3 linked regions of the Arabidopsis thaliana genome follow. The protein of the gene in region 3 purifies or fractionates together with the protein of the main gene of each other region. This does not show direct contact. Each region holds a gene or a part of one and is shown on either strand. Other genes may lie near its edges.

Region 1 (4,802 bases), on a different chromosome or scaffold from region 3:
CACCATCAGCTAGTATAGTAGTATACAACATATTTGTTCTAGGGTGGACAAGAACAAATACAAGTACGTACCCACTTGTAACTTAGATGATATATATACATTTTGGCTTCAAGCTAGTGTTTTCTCTTTTAAACATTTGACTGGTGATATTGGTCATTTGATTGATTGGAATCGAGATTTTTTCAAATTGTGGTGAGAAAGTCTCGGAATTTTGCCCACGTGTAAAATATTGAACTAACAATTATAACTAACCCTATCCCAAAATGTCGGACCAGTTTGGACCGATCGACCAGTCGAAAAGTCTATATCATATAGTTAAAACTGTGACCTCATTACAATTATTGGAAGCAACTCGACCATGTCCTGTTCAAGCATTTAATATATAAATCCTATCACGTGTTCATCTGTGACTCTGCGCCAAGATTTCTGAAAAACACACTTTTTGCAATGGACCCAATGATTTTGTTCATCGCTCATCGGTCATACTGACATACTATGTTTTTGACAAAAAAAAACAAAAGTTGCATAGATTCATGCAAAAATTATTAGGCTTCTTTGCTAGATAACTAAATTAGCGGTAAACTTGACCCCAATTGTAAATAAAATAATATTAGGTTATGATTTAGAAACATATAGTGATATCATATAATATAGTTTGTCATCGGATAAATTAGTACATGATATTTGTTTAAAAAGACGCGTAAAATCTGGTTGATTTTTTATTATGAAATTTATTTAAGATTTTGCAATCAGTATTCTTTGCAAATTAAAGACCATATATTGTTCATTTATGCTATAACTAAAACTAATCATATATTGTTGATTATAATCAATGAATTCTCTTAGAGATATACAACTCCGATCCATTTATTATTAAAAATTTTAGCACATAACTTCTCTTGGAGATTGAAGTAAACCATTATTTAACACAAAATTATCAACTGCCCATGCCAGAACAACTAAGGAACATATATACCCAATAGATTCATTGGATATGATCCCAAATTTCAACTTTTAATAACTTAATAGTATACTCCTTCCCACACAACAATACAATCAATTCAAACACTCACCAATCACCAAACTAAGCAAGAACCGGAATCCCTTGCTGAGACCGGAAAAAATTAGTCCGGTCGAACCGGGCTTTAATCTTAACCAATCTCAAATAATTCCCTTTGAAATAACTATCCCCATAAACCTTAGCTCCTTCATACGTCGCATTATACCCCGGCGTAGTAATTCCGATATCGACATCTCTATAATTAAAGAAAGCTTCTCTCGGATTCTTGGAAACAAACGGAGCCATAGCTTCTTTAAAACTTCTTGCAATCGCCAAGAACTTCTCTTCAAGCTCATCTCCAGGTCTATACCAATTCATGAAATGCTCAATCATGAAAACATTACCACCTCTATGCACAAACGCCGTCGCATCAGACGCTATCTCAGCCATTTTCCCTCCCCATGGATTCCATTGCATCCAAACTCGTCGTGGAAGTGGCGAATGATCAATCATTGTTTGAAAAATCTTTGCAAGACCCTGTTTTGAGATTGGTGCTTGAACAAAATCTGAAGTACGTTTCCAGTAGTATTCGTTGGTTGATACTCTTTTGAGAAGTAACTCTATCGGTGCTTTTTCTGGATAATTCGCCCAGAAAACACTAGATTCGATCCATTTCTTGACCATACAATCTTCTTTCGTTAAATGTAGCTCAGGGAAACTCTGTTTCGTTATGTTTAAAAGTCTCTCAGGTAAACCAAGAAACATTCCGATGAAGGAGACTTTAATCGTCTTACCTTTTGAGATTTTCCGGTTTATTGGTTTAATCTCTAACCGGATAAACAAATCTCTGTCGATAACCGGAGCTACTTGTTGCCATTTATGAACTAAATCAACGGCTCCTTCTCTCACCGTTCTTTCTAGTTTAAAAACTGTGACTTTCTCCGGAACCCTAACGAGTTTTATCTTCCAGGCAAGAATGACTCCGTAGCTTCCGCCGCCTCCGCCGCGAATAGCCCAAAACACGTCTTCTCCCATAGCTTGACGGTTACGGTACACTTTACCGTTGGCGTCCATGATTTGAGCGTCGATTATATGATCAATGGATAAACCGTATTTTCTCATGAGGTTACCGAATCCTCCGCCGCTGAAATGTCCTCCGGCGCCGACTTTAGGACAAACTCCGGCGGGAAAAGCGTGGACTTTGCTTTTACTTGCAATGTTATAGTAAAGCTGACCTAGTGAAGCTCCGGATTGGATCCAAACGGTTTCGTCTTTCATGTTGATATCGATTTTGTTGAAGTTGTACATGTCTAAGATTACGAAAGGTACCGGAGAAGTGTAGGAGAAGCCTTCGTAGTCGTGGCCTCCGCTTCGGATTCTTAGCTCGAGGTTTAGGAGTTTGCAGCAAGAGATTGTTGCTCTTATGTGAGTTTCGGTGACGGCGGCGACGATAACTTCTGGTTTTCTTGTGGAGACAGAAGCGAACCGGAGGTTTCTGACGCCGTTCATTAGGTTTGTTGAGAAAGATGAGTTTGTTGGGATCACGGCGGTTCTTGAGTTGGGACTGCCGTGGTCGGATGGTTGAGTGTCGAGGCATCGGAGAAAATGCTCCGGTATAGATAATGACGGTGGTGATGAGTTGACTTGTTGAATTATGAGATAGATAATAATTATAAGAAACGTTAATGGTCGTGACCAAAACTTCATTTTCGTTTTGTTATTTGTGATTGGTTTTTGAATAATGAAATAGCTTTGTTGGGTTTGTGTGTGTATTTATAGCCAATAGAGTAGTATAGTCTTTGTATTTAATTTTCCAGGGAATATTCGGCGATATATATATATATATATATATCACGATAATATTCAATTCAATTTGAAGTTTCTATAGATATTAGTGTAGTTTTCTTATTTTGTTGTTTATATCCGCTTGTATTTTGTATAGTATGAGTAAAAGTATGCAAATTGGATATAAGTTCCGTAGAAGATATTGGTTACTTTGACATATTTAAAAAGTAACAGTAAGAGTTACTTTAGTTTAAGATTTGTCGACGATAGGATGCCAGAATTCCACGACCTGTCAGTCACCTCACCAATGATCAACTAGGATATGATTTGATTAATGTTTTTTGGTGAATTTTTTTTTTATAGGTAAAACATAATTAACAAAACGGACTTTAATTGTTTTTATATGTAAAACATAATCTACTAAACGGACTTTATTTGTTTATTATCAAATTAAATAGAGTAGTATGTGTTTCTTTCTTTTTTTGGGACCCTTGGTAGTTAATTGTTGCATGTGGCGTGATTAAATTAGGTCTTAGAGCAAATCCAAGGCGATCAAATACAGAAGAGCTACGTAAGAAGGTCAACACGTGTCGTTATGGATAAGTTGATGAAAAATACGTACCTGCAATAAAATTGTCCACATGAATTTCTTATCACACGAGGACTTTTGATCGGCGAGGACGGTGAGTGTAGTTATGATTCTCGTGAAGGCAAAGATAAAAAAGACAAGTGTTGTTTTAATCAGTGAATCAAAATCAACCAAATAGGCTTCTTTTCTCTTTACTCTAAACTCTTATCTGTAAAAGATTCCCTTTTCTGTTATCTCCAAAAGTCATACAATAAAAGAGATGGTCTTATAGCATTAACATATCTGCATATGTATAATGTAGTGGTCGTGGATCAATTTGTGCTTACGAATCCAATTATCCAATAGAGTTCCCACAAGATTCAGAAATTTGTTAAAAGAAAGACCAGTTCATTTTTATTTTTGTTAAAGATCGAAAGACCAGTTCATCTGTTTATAAGTTATAGTTTCAAAATAAGGTTTAATTATGAGGTCACATGCATATTATGAAACTAAACATATATATCTCTAGCTAGTCTAGCTATTTTGTTTTCAAGTTTATTGTGAAGTGTTTAGACCAAAATGGTAATGTTTCCCCTCCGGGCTACTACAAACCATTATTCTCGAAATTTTCCTTTGCTCAAAATTGAAGTACTTAAAGAGTTCTTTCTTGTTTTGTTATAGTACTTATTTGTCTGAATATAGCGTTCATCCATTTTGTACAACTGCACAGTATATAATATTTGGCGTCGGTTACCCACCGCTTCGACCATAGTGGATTTGGATCCACCTAACAAATATGTTAGAGCATCCTTGACATACCTCAGTATTTAGTATTATCTAAACGTAATTAGTTTTATCCTAGTCTCTCTTATATATGTGTAATTCTTTGAATACACCATGCATGAATATCACGTTCTAATAATTTATATAGGCTCCCAACATCATGAGCTTAATTCAAGTTTAGGATCGGAAAACAAATCAAAACTAAACTAGTTTGAAGCTTAGTATATATATGATTGGAGATTTGCAAAACTACCCATTTTTTACTATTTTTTTGCAACAATACCCTTTTATGTTTTCCATTTTTAAAAGTACCCTTTCCCTTGAACAAAATGACCAAATTACCCTCATCTAATAGAAACATGTAATTGGAAACTGAACTTTTCCCGCCAATTTTTTGGCGCCAAAATTTTTATTTTCCGCCAAAAAAAAAATTTCCGCCAAACTTTTTTCCCGCCAAAAAAAACAATTCCTGCCAAAAACTTTTTCGTAACAATTTTCCTCAGCTAAAAAAATGATTTTAAAAATCTTTGTAAATATTTTTTGGCGGCAAATAGATTTACAAGGGTTTTAAAAGATTTATAAGAGATTTTAAAAGAGTTTTAAAAGATTTACAAGAGATTTTAAAAGGATTTTAAAAAATTTACAAGAGATTTTAAAAGGGTTTTA
Region 2 (4,636 bases), 1.1 Mb from region 3:
TTCTTGACACGTAATACCCGCAGCAACTGAGCTGTCGCATGACAAGCCAAAAAACCATCAAGTTTAAAGAAACAAAATCCACCAAGATGAGATTTTTAACTCGCAAAGATTTTTGTTCTTTGGGATGTAACATTAAATAGTAGACGACAGATTTTATGCGAAATACAAAAACTTTGAGAAAATAGTTTTAAAAAAGACATATTGTACCCCTCCAGGTAAAAAAGATCTAGTCCAACACCTATAAACTTTGAAAACTCTACTAGCATTAAACTTTGGACATTACTATGTCTCGCATAATCGCCTTTAGGAATGCTAAGGACAAAAACATGTTTTACAGTTATTGTCTGTGAGCAGTAGTTTCATGTGGCTGCCGTTTATTACGAAACCGTCGGTGCTGAATTAGAGACACGGACGGTGAAAAATCATAAACGGTAAATGCTTTTACAACCATTTATCTATATGCTTTGAAGCCCAATCTTAGCCCAAGCCATGATACTAGAAGCCGAATCAAAAGCTAATATAGGGCTTGATTGGTTCTCCCTCTGCCACCCGCAAACGCAGCGTTTGCGGGTGGTAGCGGTTATTAGCGGTTGGCACCAATCATAGAAACCGCTAGATACCGCTTTGGACCGCTTGAAATCACCAGATTTCAAAAGCTCCTTCCCGCAAGCGTTTGCGGTTGCGGGCGGTAGCGGTTAGGTTAAAAAAAAATTAATTAATTAATTAAAATAATTATGTCTTCCACCCAAACCTTATACTTATTCTTATCAGAAAACCCTAATCAATGAAACCCTATTCTCTCAATTATGGCATCCACCCAAACTGACAAAAATCAAAGTCAAAATCAAGAATCAAACGTAAGTATGATCTATCCTTTCATCCATTCATTAGCTAGTGTAATTCTCGGAATATTTCATGGCATCGTTGTTTTTTTTTATTTTGTTTTTTTTTGAGTTTTTTGATTGAATACATGTTTTGATTTGTTTTCTCGATTAGAAAATCATTTGGTCAAACGAGACCACATTTGCGTTACTTCAACGGGTTATTGTGGAGAAATAAACGGAAGAATCCAAAGACCCCAAAATCAGATTTCTAAGTGATGTTCAAAAAGAAAATATTCTTAAGAATATTAACGTTTGGAAAAAATTTGAGTTGGAGATGTGTTAAAAATCGTTTGGATATCTTGAAGAAACTTTATCATATGTATAGAGGCAATCCGGAAAACCCGCGAGTTCAACGTTATTTACAGTTTATCACACTACTTGATGCAATTTTTGGTGATGTACCAAATGCATAAAGTATTAAACTTTTTCTTACAAAATTTATTTATTTTTGAATTTTTAGTTTTATTTATGGTTTTAATTATTAAGTATGTTTAATTTTTCAAATATTATCAATTTATCATAATAATATATTGTATTTTTTTTCTTTTAATAGTAATATATTATATTTATTTTGGTTATTTTTTATTTAATTACTATCGCACCCGCTGGTTTACCAGTCATAAAACTCCCGCAAACGCACTCATTACCAAACGCTCAACCAGTCGTTCAAAACACTTGATAACGTTTGAAACCGCAACCGCCCGTTTCCGCAAATTCCCGCAACCGCAATCGTACCCGCTGCGTTTAAACCAGGCCCATAGTCAACATAAGTTACGGAACCACAACTATTTGCGACTCGAAGATGTGTATCGTCATCTCATAACATGATTAGAAAAAGGATTAAAATGCAAGAACATAACCACGTGGCGTCATGTTGACCCTGTGATATGATTGTAGTAAGCAACAAGCTTATCCAACCGGCAAGTCGCATCGGAAAATCTAATCGTAGCTTCAATTATTTGCATGGGAACTCTCCCCCACTTTCAGTTCCTGTCTCTATCTTAATTTGTCTGCAACCTTTTCTATTACCATCTAATGAATGTGCTCAACACTATAAATCCATGTGTATGTTTCTTCATTTTTGTGGCCATATTATTGCTACAACTAGTTATTACAAACCACACAATCACATGTTACTCAAACAACAAACCCACATGTTAAAAGTTATTACCAATTTCTTACGTTCTCGTTTTTTTGTGTTTAAGATATCTAACATGAATTTGACATTTGTTGTTGACTAATTTGATGTAGAATTTCTTGATTAATCAAGATTACACGAACACAAGCTTCATTATTGAACGAGGCCAAAGTGTCTAATCTTACCCATATCGAATTATTATTTTAACAATTTCACGTAAAAAAAAAAATAAAGCAAAGTATTGTCCTTTTTTTATTAATATATTTTTAAAAATTCCCTCTTTTATTTAATATCCTCTATTTATATGCCATTAACGTCTATCTTCTTCCCTCACCCATCAAGTCCCAATTCCCAACACTGTCACTCAAAAAGAATCTTCAAACAATGAATCTCAACGTCGTCGTTTTACTCCTACTCCTTCTAATCTCATCCGCCACGTGTTGTCCGCCGTCAGACCGCCGTGCACTTCTAGCTTTCCGATCAGCTCTTCACGAGCCTTACCTCGGCATTTTCAACTCATGGACAGGCCAAGACTGTTGCCACAACTGGTACGGTATTAGCTGCGACTCGCTCACTCACCGAGTCGCCGACATAAATCTCCGCGGCGAGTCAGAAGATCCAATCTTCGAACGAGCTCACCGAACCGGTTACATGACCGGACACATCTCCGCCTCGATATGTGAGCTCACTCGTCTCTCCGCCATTACAATCGCCGATTGGAAAGGTATCTCCGGCGAAATCCCTAAATGTATCACTCGTCTTCCTTTTCTCCGTACACTCGACTTAATCGGAAACCAAATCTCCGGTGGGATTCCATACGACATCGGAAGATTAAACCGGTTAGCTGTTTTAAACGTAGCCGATAACCGAATCTCCGGTTCAATTCCAAAATCATTAACCAATCTCTCTAGCTTAATGCATTTAGATCTCCGTAACAACTTAATCTCCGGTGTAATCCCGTCGGACGTCGGAAGATTAAAAATGCTCAGCCGTGCGTTATTATCCGGTAACCGAATAACCGGTCGGATCCCAGAATCATTAACCAATATCTACCGGTTAGCTGACGTGGATCTCTCCGGTAACCAACTCTACGGTACAATCCCACCGTCTCTAGGACGTATGTCGGTACTAGCCACACTTAACCTCGACGGAAACAAAATCTCCGGCGAGATACCTCAAACTCTGATGACGTCGTCGGTGATGAATCTGAATTTGAGCCGGAACTTGCTACAAGGGAAGATACCTGAAGGGTTTGGACCAAGGTCTTACTTCACAGTTCTTGATTTGTCGTATAATAATCTGAAAGGACCAATACCGAGATCGATCTCAGGTGCGTCGTTTATTGGTCATTTGGATCTTAGCCATAACCATCTCTGTGGGAGGATTCCGGTAGGTTCACCGTTTGATCATCTTGAAGCGGCGTCGTTTATGTTTAACGACTGTCTTTGTGGTAAACCTTTAAGAGCTTGCTTGAAAAATTGATTTTTATATGTAATTTGAGTTTTTTCATTAGAGACATTATTATATTTATGGTTATGCATTTTATAAAAAAAAGATTTAAAATTGTATGCTACGTTTAGTTGAATTATGGGATGATTAACAAAATATATAAACTTCCAGTTTCATTCGTCACACGATTGCTATCATTTTTAATTCAATTGTTTGGTTTTTTGTAATATGTTATATGTGTACGTATACGATTACTATAAACTGTTTTATAGACGATTAAATTTTCTCTATAACACACGAACATATTTGATAATCAATTATGTTTACTGTGACAAGAGTCAATATTGGGAATATATCCGAACATAGGATATACATGGAAATACCTACGGATATGTTCGTATTTAATGTATCGAGTAAACTATTTTTTGTTTTTTCTTACATATTTTATACGATATACATATAACTATAGACTAGGAATGCATTTAGTTGGGTTTGTTTAAGAACATTTATTCTAGAGCCAAATACACATAATATGGAAAAATTCAAATCACAATCACATGAAGAAGAATTAAATGAAACATTAAAAAGAAAGCGTTGTGGGGGTAATAAATAAATGGGCAGAGGCATTGCATGTGAGACTCTGTAAAGCATTTTGCGGTGAGTGTTAACCTCAGGACCTGTCGCTGCTTCACTACATGGGTCTACTCTTTATGTCACTGCATTCATTGCTTATGTCTCTAATTACACACATTTATATACTTGCTTACAAAACGTTTTGGGCTCATACAGCTTTAGAGTCCAAACTAATTGGGCCTACGTACGTTGGTCCCTATAGATTTTTATGGTTTAGAGTCCATCACAAATCTTGTTTTCATACTTTGTGGTATGTAAAGTTGAGATTCAAACAAACCATTTGTACAACGTATAAATTATGTATTAAGTTTGAACCTATTTGATTATATATTCCGATAAATAATCTGCCATACATCATCAAAACAAAATGATTTTTTTTTTAACATGAACTAAAGAAGAAGAAGAAAGTTGTACAAGTTCTTTAACTCTCTCCCTGCCTTCTGTTGCTTATGGAATAAGGTTGGTCGAACACAACATGTGATCACCTTCCTAATATCCAAATCTTCTTTTGTCCTATTAATTATTTATTTTT
Region 3 (5,629 bases):
GTACTGTGTAGTGTGACATATCAGAGGCGACAAAACATATCATAATCTTTTGTTTTGTTGGAATTCTGGTGTGGTGATCGTCTTTTGTCATCTGCTTACTTGGTGTCTGGTGATTGTGTCTTCTGATCGTCTATTACCAGCCGCACTTTGTTTGACCCTTGCTTGAAAGTATTCGAGCACACGCATGCACACATCACAACACAGATATATTAGTATTAAAAGAATGAGCATACATAAATTGTTGTATGAAAACGACACGACTCAGGTGATACTTGGAGTTTGAATGATGAGCATATATCGGGTTTTACTTGCGCTTAATGCATAAGCATAAACGTACTGTACTCTTTATAATATCGTATTGTAATGTCAGTAATATGTACCAACAATTCTCTTGTTGGATGATTCTTTTTGGGTACCGTGATGTATGGGCTGGCTTTACCAAGGAGATAGGTGTGACACTTGTTCCCCCATAGATTTATCAATTGTTCTTAGTCCCATTGATTTTATTTGAGATTTGCTACTTCAAAATTCAAATGGTGAAATCTATCCAACTACCCTTTTGAATCCACACATATAATACACAAAAGTTCATTAAACAATATTAAAATGTCAAATGAAAAAAAAAGTTCTTCTAAAAAAAAAAAAAAAACATTAACTATATGTAAAACCACTAAATATCTTTAAAATTATCGCTCACTTTGTATCCTTTACATTACCCGTTAAAAATGCTTGTTTGTTATAAATTTTGCATTAAACAATTATAAATTCTAGTTTTTCATATTTTAAATTTTCTTAAATTCATCGTTCACTATTTATCATTTTTATTATAATGTTTAAATAAATAACGCTTCTTTGTACAAAACAAATTAAAATTTGCAATCAATACTTACTAATTGCATGTTTTTCCATATTTTGAAAATTTTAAAACTTATCTTTCATCATTTAATATTTCAATTATTCTTTTAAATATATCACGCTTATTTGTGATACAAGACAAAAGAAAAATGTATTTAGCACTTGGTAAATATATTTTTCCATATTTTATTTTTTTCATAAAGTTATCTTTCATCATCTATAATAAGAGGTTTACATTTATTTGTTATTTTTGTTTTACGTCGTACATTTATATATATATATATAGATATATATATATATATATATCAAATATTTTGTTAAAATGCAACTAAAGTTAAAATTTAATTCAAATGTAAATATCATACATTACTGTTTAAAAATATTTTAATGTCTTGTAATTTTTCCTTAATGAAAAACATATTTGATGTATCATTTTGTGATTAAGTTAAAGGGTCGCAAATAGATATATACTCTAACAAAATTCACAGAAAATATAAATTTGAAACTAAATTTTATGTAAATGTATCGATTTCAAATCCTAAACAGAGGACATAGAAGTTAGTAATTGCATTTGTTTTGCCATACTCATCTCAATACATCTCTTACTTATCATACACTCTTTAATGGAGTTTGTTACATGGGTTACTTAATGTAACAGTGTTTGCTATATACTTCATTCGATGTTATTCTAAAATCAACAAAATTGTTTTACACTGAAAGCGAGGAGTTCTTTTCAGAAAAATAATTTAAAATTTTGGCGGTCCATTTTTAAAATTTTGGTGATTTTTTATTACATTGGAGCGAAAATGTAGCAAAATTCTAAGAGGCAAAAATGAAAAAAATCAAAGTAAAGAAACACAAAATCCTTAAAATAAAAGACAAAATGATATGACACGTCATCGATCCTCGTCAAAACCGTCGATAGAAAACAAATCAACGGTTAGATTTAATAGTAATCTTTCTTCTCATCCTTTCGTCTCTACTCCTCCGCCTCTCTCTCCCCAACCTAACTTTATTTATTTCTCTCACAAAAATTTTATTTTCACAAAAACAAAAAAATCAAAAGAGCTCTCAGAGCAAAAAACAAAAAAAAAGAAAAAAAAACCCTAAATCTAAATCTCACCTTCCACCTCTGTCTTTTTTTTTTTTGTTCTTTTTTTTTTTTTTACTGTATCTTCTCTTCTCTTTGCTCTGCAAAAATCTCACATCCATGGATCCATCTCTTGGTGATCCTCATCATCCTCCTCAGTTCACCCCTTTTCCTCATTTTCCCACCTCCAATCATCATCCTTTAGGACCAAATCCGTACAATAACCATGTCGTCTTCCAACCGCAGCCGCAAACGCAAACGCAAATCCCGCAACCGCAGATGTTTCAGTTATCTCCACATGTTTCAATGCCCCACCCTCCTTACTCCGAAGTAAGTTCAATCTTAAAAGCCTCTTCCTTTATAACTAAATTCAGTTACTTTTTTTTTTGTTACTAATTTTTTTTTTCTGTGTGTAGATGATTTGCGCTGCGATTGCGGCGTTAAACGAACCGGATGGTTCGAGCAAGATGGCAATTTCGAGATACATCGAGAGATGTTACACCGGTTTAACTTCTGCTCATGCTGCTTTGTTGACTCACCATCTCAAGACTTTGAAGACCAGTGGTGTTCTTTCTATGGTTAAGAAATCTTACAAAATTGCTGGTTCTTCTACTCCTCCTGCTAGTGTAGCTGTTGCTGCTGCTGCCGCCGCTCAAGGTCTCGATGTTCCCAGATCTGAGATTCTCCATTCAAGTAACAACGATCCCATGGCTTCTGGCTCTGCTTCTCAGCCTCTGAAACGAGGTCGTGGTCGTCCTCCTAAGCCTAAACCTGAATCTCAACCACAACCACTACAGCAACTTCCACCGACCAATCAAGTCCAGGCTAACGGACAGCCAATCTGGGAACAGCAGCAAGTTCAATCACCTGTTCCGGTTCCGACTCCGGTTACAGAGTCGGCGAAGAGAGGACCTGGTCGTCCAAGGAAGAACGGTTCTGCTGCTCCTGCTACTGCACCAATCGTTCAAGCTTCGGTTATGGCTGGAATTATGAAACGTAGAGGTAGACCACCGGGTCGTCGAGCTGCTGGGAGACAGAGGAAGCCCAAATCCGTTTCTTCTACTGCCTCTGTGTATCCTTATGTTGCTAATGGTGCTAGACGCAGAGGAAGGCCTAGGAGAGTTGTTGACCCTAGCAGTATTGTTAGTGTTGCTCCAGTAGGTGGTGAAAATGTGGCAGCGGTTGCGCCAGGGATGAAGCGTGGACGTGGACGACCACCTAAGATTGGTGGTGTTATCAGTAGGCTTATTATGAAGCCTAAGAGAGGACGAGGACGTCCTGTAGGTAGACCCAGAAAGGTAAATTTTCACATCCCCCAATTCTGTATTCGTGATCTCGATTTTGCAATATCTGACGTTTACTGTGCATGATTGTTCACTGCTCCGCCGTCAATTTAGATTGATAAAGTTTGATACTTGTGTTGCAATCATTGTGGAATTCAAACTCAATGTCACTTTCCGCTTTTGAGCATTGTTGTCTGTTTTCGCGTATCCAAAATCTGACTAGTATCTAGTGTTTTTATTATATTTTCGTGTCCCTTACTTTTGGCTTATCCTTATCTGGTTTCTCTGTTTTATTTTAATTTTCGTTTGGATAATTAAGACCAAAATAGTCGGTAATGTATCGCTATAGCTAGGAATAATTTTATCATCAATTAGTGTGTTAATCCGGCTTAATGGTTTCTAAGTCATCACATAGTGTCTTCTTCTCTGTATCTTCTATTTTACTAGTAACGTGTTCAATTGGATCTAAAGTAAGACTTCTTAATTTAACCATTAATGTCTTTCTTGAATATGTTATACTTTTATCCAACAATTTTATTTTTTGGTTCATGAACCTAGATTGGAACATCAGTCACGACTGGGACACAAGATTCTGGAGAACTCAAGAAGAAGTTTGATATTTTTGTAAGTCTACTTGTTGACAATAAACAGTTTGGCTGTCCTTTATTTGATTAAAGTATTCGATTCTACTTGCTTATGTTTGGTTTTTGTATGTAAATGATTTCAGCAAGAGAAAGTGAAAGAAATTGTGAAGGTGTTGAAGGATGGAGTTACAAGTGAGAATCAAGCAGTGGTGCAAGCCATAAAAGATCTGGAAGCACTAACAGTGACGGAGACCGTTGAGCCACAAGTTATGGAAGAAGTGCAGCCAGAGGAGACTGCAGCACCACAGACTGAAGCTCAACAAACTGAAGCTGCTGAGACACAAGGAGGACAAGAAGAAGGACAAGAAAGAGAAGGAGAAACACAGACCCAGACAGAAGCAGAGGCAATGCAAGAAGCTCTGTTCTGAAGAATAATAATGATCTAGAAAACAACCTAGACATAATAGCCTTGGTGTTTGGCGTTAGGAGTGTTTTTTTTTAGTTGTTTTAGGTGTTGGAATCGCATCTTAAATTATATAAAAATCTATAAGGAATTTTAATTTTTCTAGGTTTTGTTGTCTGCAGAAGAAGAAATAGTAGACTCGTTAATGGTGTTGTTGTCGGTGTGTCTTTAACCAAACCATAAGACGTGGCTGTAAATTAGCGATGTTTCTAGTCTTCCATCTTTAATAATCTCTTATTGCGTCTGTGCCTTTGTTTTTTTCAATCTGTCTTCTGCTCTCTGCTTCCGCTTTGCACATTGTGGAGATGTTTTCGTGTCTATTTTCCACCCAACGGTTTTAGCAGGTCGACTCTTACTTAATTTCTTACTAATAATATCTTCATTTCCATCTCACGTTGGCTCAAAAAGCTATATAACTTTGACTCGAAAACATGTTAGAGTTAACACAACAGTCGAACTCAGAATCGAAATTGCAGTCCAAACGAAGTAAATATAAAATGAAATATATCGATATTCACAGCCCATACGACCGAGGCCTAAAAAAGAGTGAGTCAATGGCCCATTTGACCAGCAACTAAAATGATTGTCCTCTCGGGCCTCTCTCTTTCTCTTCCCTCTAAAACATTTTGATATTCTCTTCGACCAGATCAATTTTTCGGTTAGGGTTCTTCGCCGAACCATTGGCTACTTTGCTAGATCTCTGAAGGTGTAAAAGAGCTATGGAGAATGGGAAAAGAGACAGACAAGACATGGAAGTGAATACCACACCGAGGAAGCCTCGTGTACTACTCGCTGCAAGTGGAAGCGTCGCTGCTATCAAATTCGGCAATCTCTGCCATTGCTTCACCGAATGGGCAGAAGTCAGAGCCGTCGTTACGAAATCATCTCTACATTTCCTCGATAAACTCTCTCTCCCACAAGAAGTGACTCTGTATACTGATGAAGATGAATGGTCTAGCTGGAACAAGATCGGTGATCCTGTCCTTCACATCGAGCTTAGACGTTGGGCTGATGTTTTAGTCATTGCTCCTTTGTCTGCTAACACCTTAGGCAAGGTAATTTAACAAATCGACGAAAACCCTAAACCAACTACTTAGATTCAATTGTGTGACTTGTGAAAACATTCATGGAGGATTCAATTCATACAATATATTTTTGTTGTACCTTTGTAGATTGCTGGTGGGCTTTGTGATAATCTTCTGACTTGCATTATACGAGCTTGGGACTATACCAAACCACTGTTTGTTGCTCCAGCTATGAATACTTTGATGTGGAACAATCCTTTCACTGAAAGGCATCTTTTGTCTCTTGATGAACTGGGAATCACACTTATTCCTCCTATCAAGAAGAGACT

What was found. The genes of interacting proteins can lie anywhere in the genome.
Region 1: the proteins of HON4 (region 3) and AT2G34810 fractionate together in Arabidopsis thaliana (co-fractionation; one large-scale study listed by BioGRID). This does not show direct contact.
Region 2: the proteins of HON4 (region 3) and AT3G20820 fractionate together in Arabidopsis thaliana (co-fractionation; one large-scale study listed by BioGRID). This does not show direct contact.

Annotation. Positions count from the first base shown.
Region 1 is NC_003071.7:14,683,197-14,687,998, reverse strand, and holds AT2G34810 (FAD-binding Berberine family protein), read right to left. Parts: upstream 2,830-4,802; 5' UTR 2,708-2,829; coding exon 1,085-2,707; 3' UTR 783-1,084; downstream 1-782.
Region 2 is NC_003074.8:7,278,524-7,283,159, forward strand, and holds AT3G20820 (Leucine-rich repeat (LRR) family protein), read left to right. Parts: upstream 1-2,268; 5' UTR 2,269-2,406; coding exon 2,407-3,504; 3' UTR 3,505-3,854; downstream 3,855-4,636.
Region 3 is NC_003074.8:6,167,995-6,173,623, reverse strand, and holds HON4 (winged-helix DNA-binding transcription factor family protein), read left to right. Parts: upstream 1-1,618; 5' UTR 1,619-2,065; coding exon 2,066-2,275; intron 2,276-2,361; coding exon 2,362-3,243; coding exon of another isoform or gene 3,244-3,315; exon of another isoform or gene 3,316-3,698; intron 3,699-3,786; coding exon 3,787-3,852; intron 3,853-3,955; coding exon 3,956-4,240; 3' UTR 4,241-4,661; downstream 4,662-5,629. Other genes in the region: HAL3A (HAL3-like protein A), read left to right, coding at 4,995-5,330, 5,448-5,629.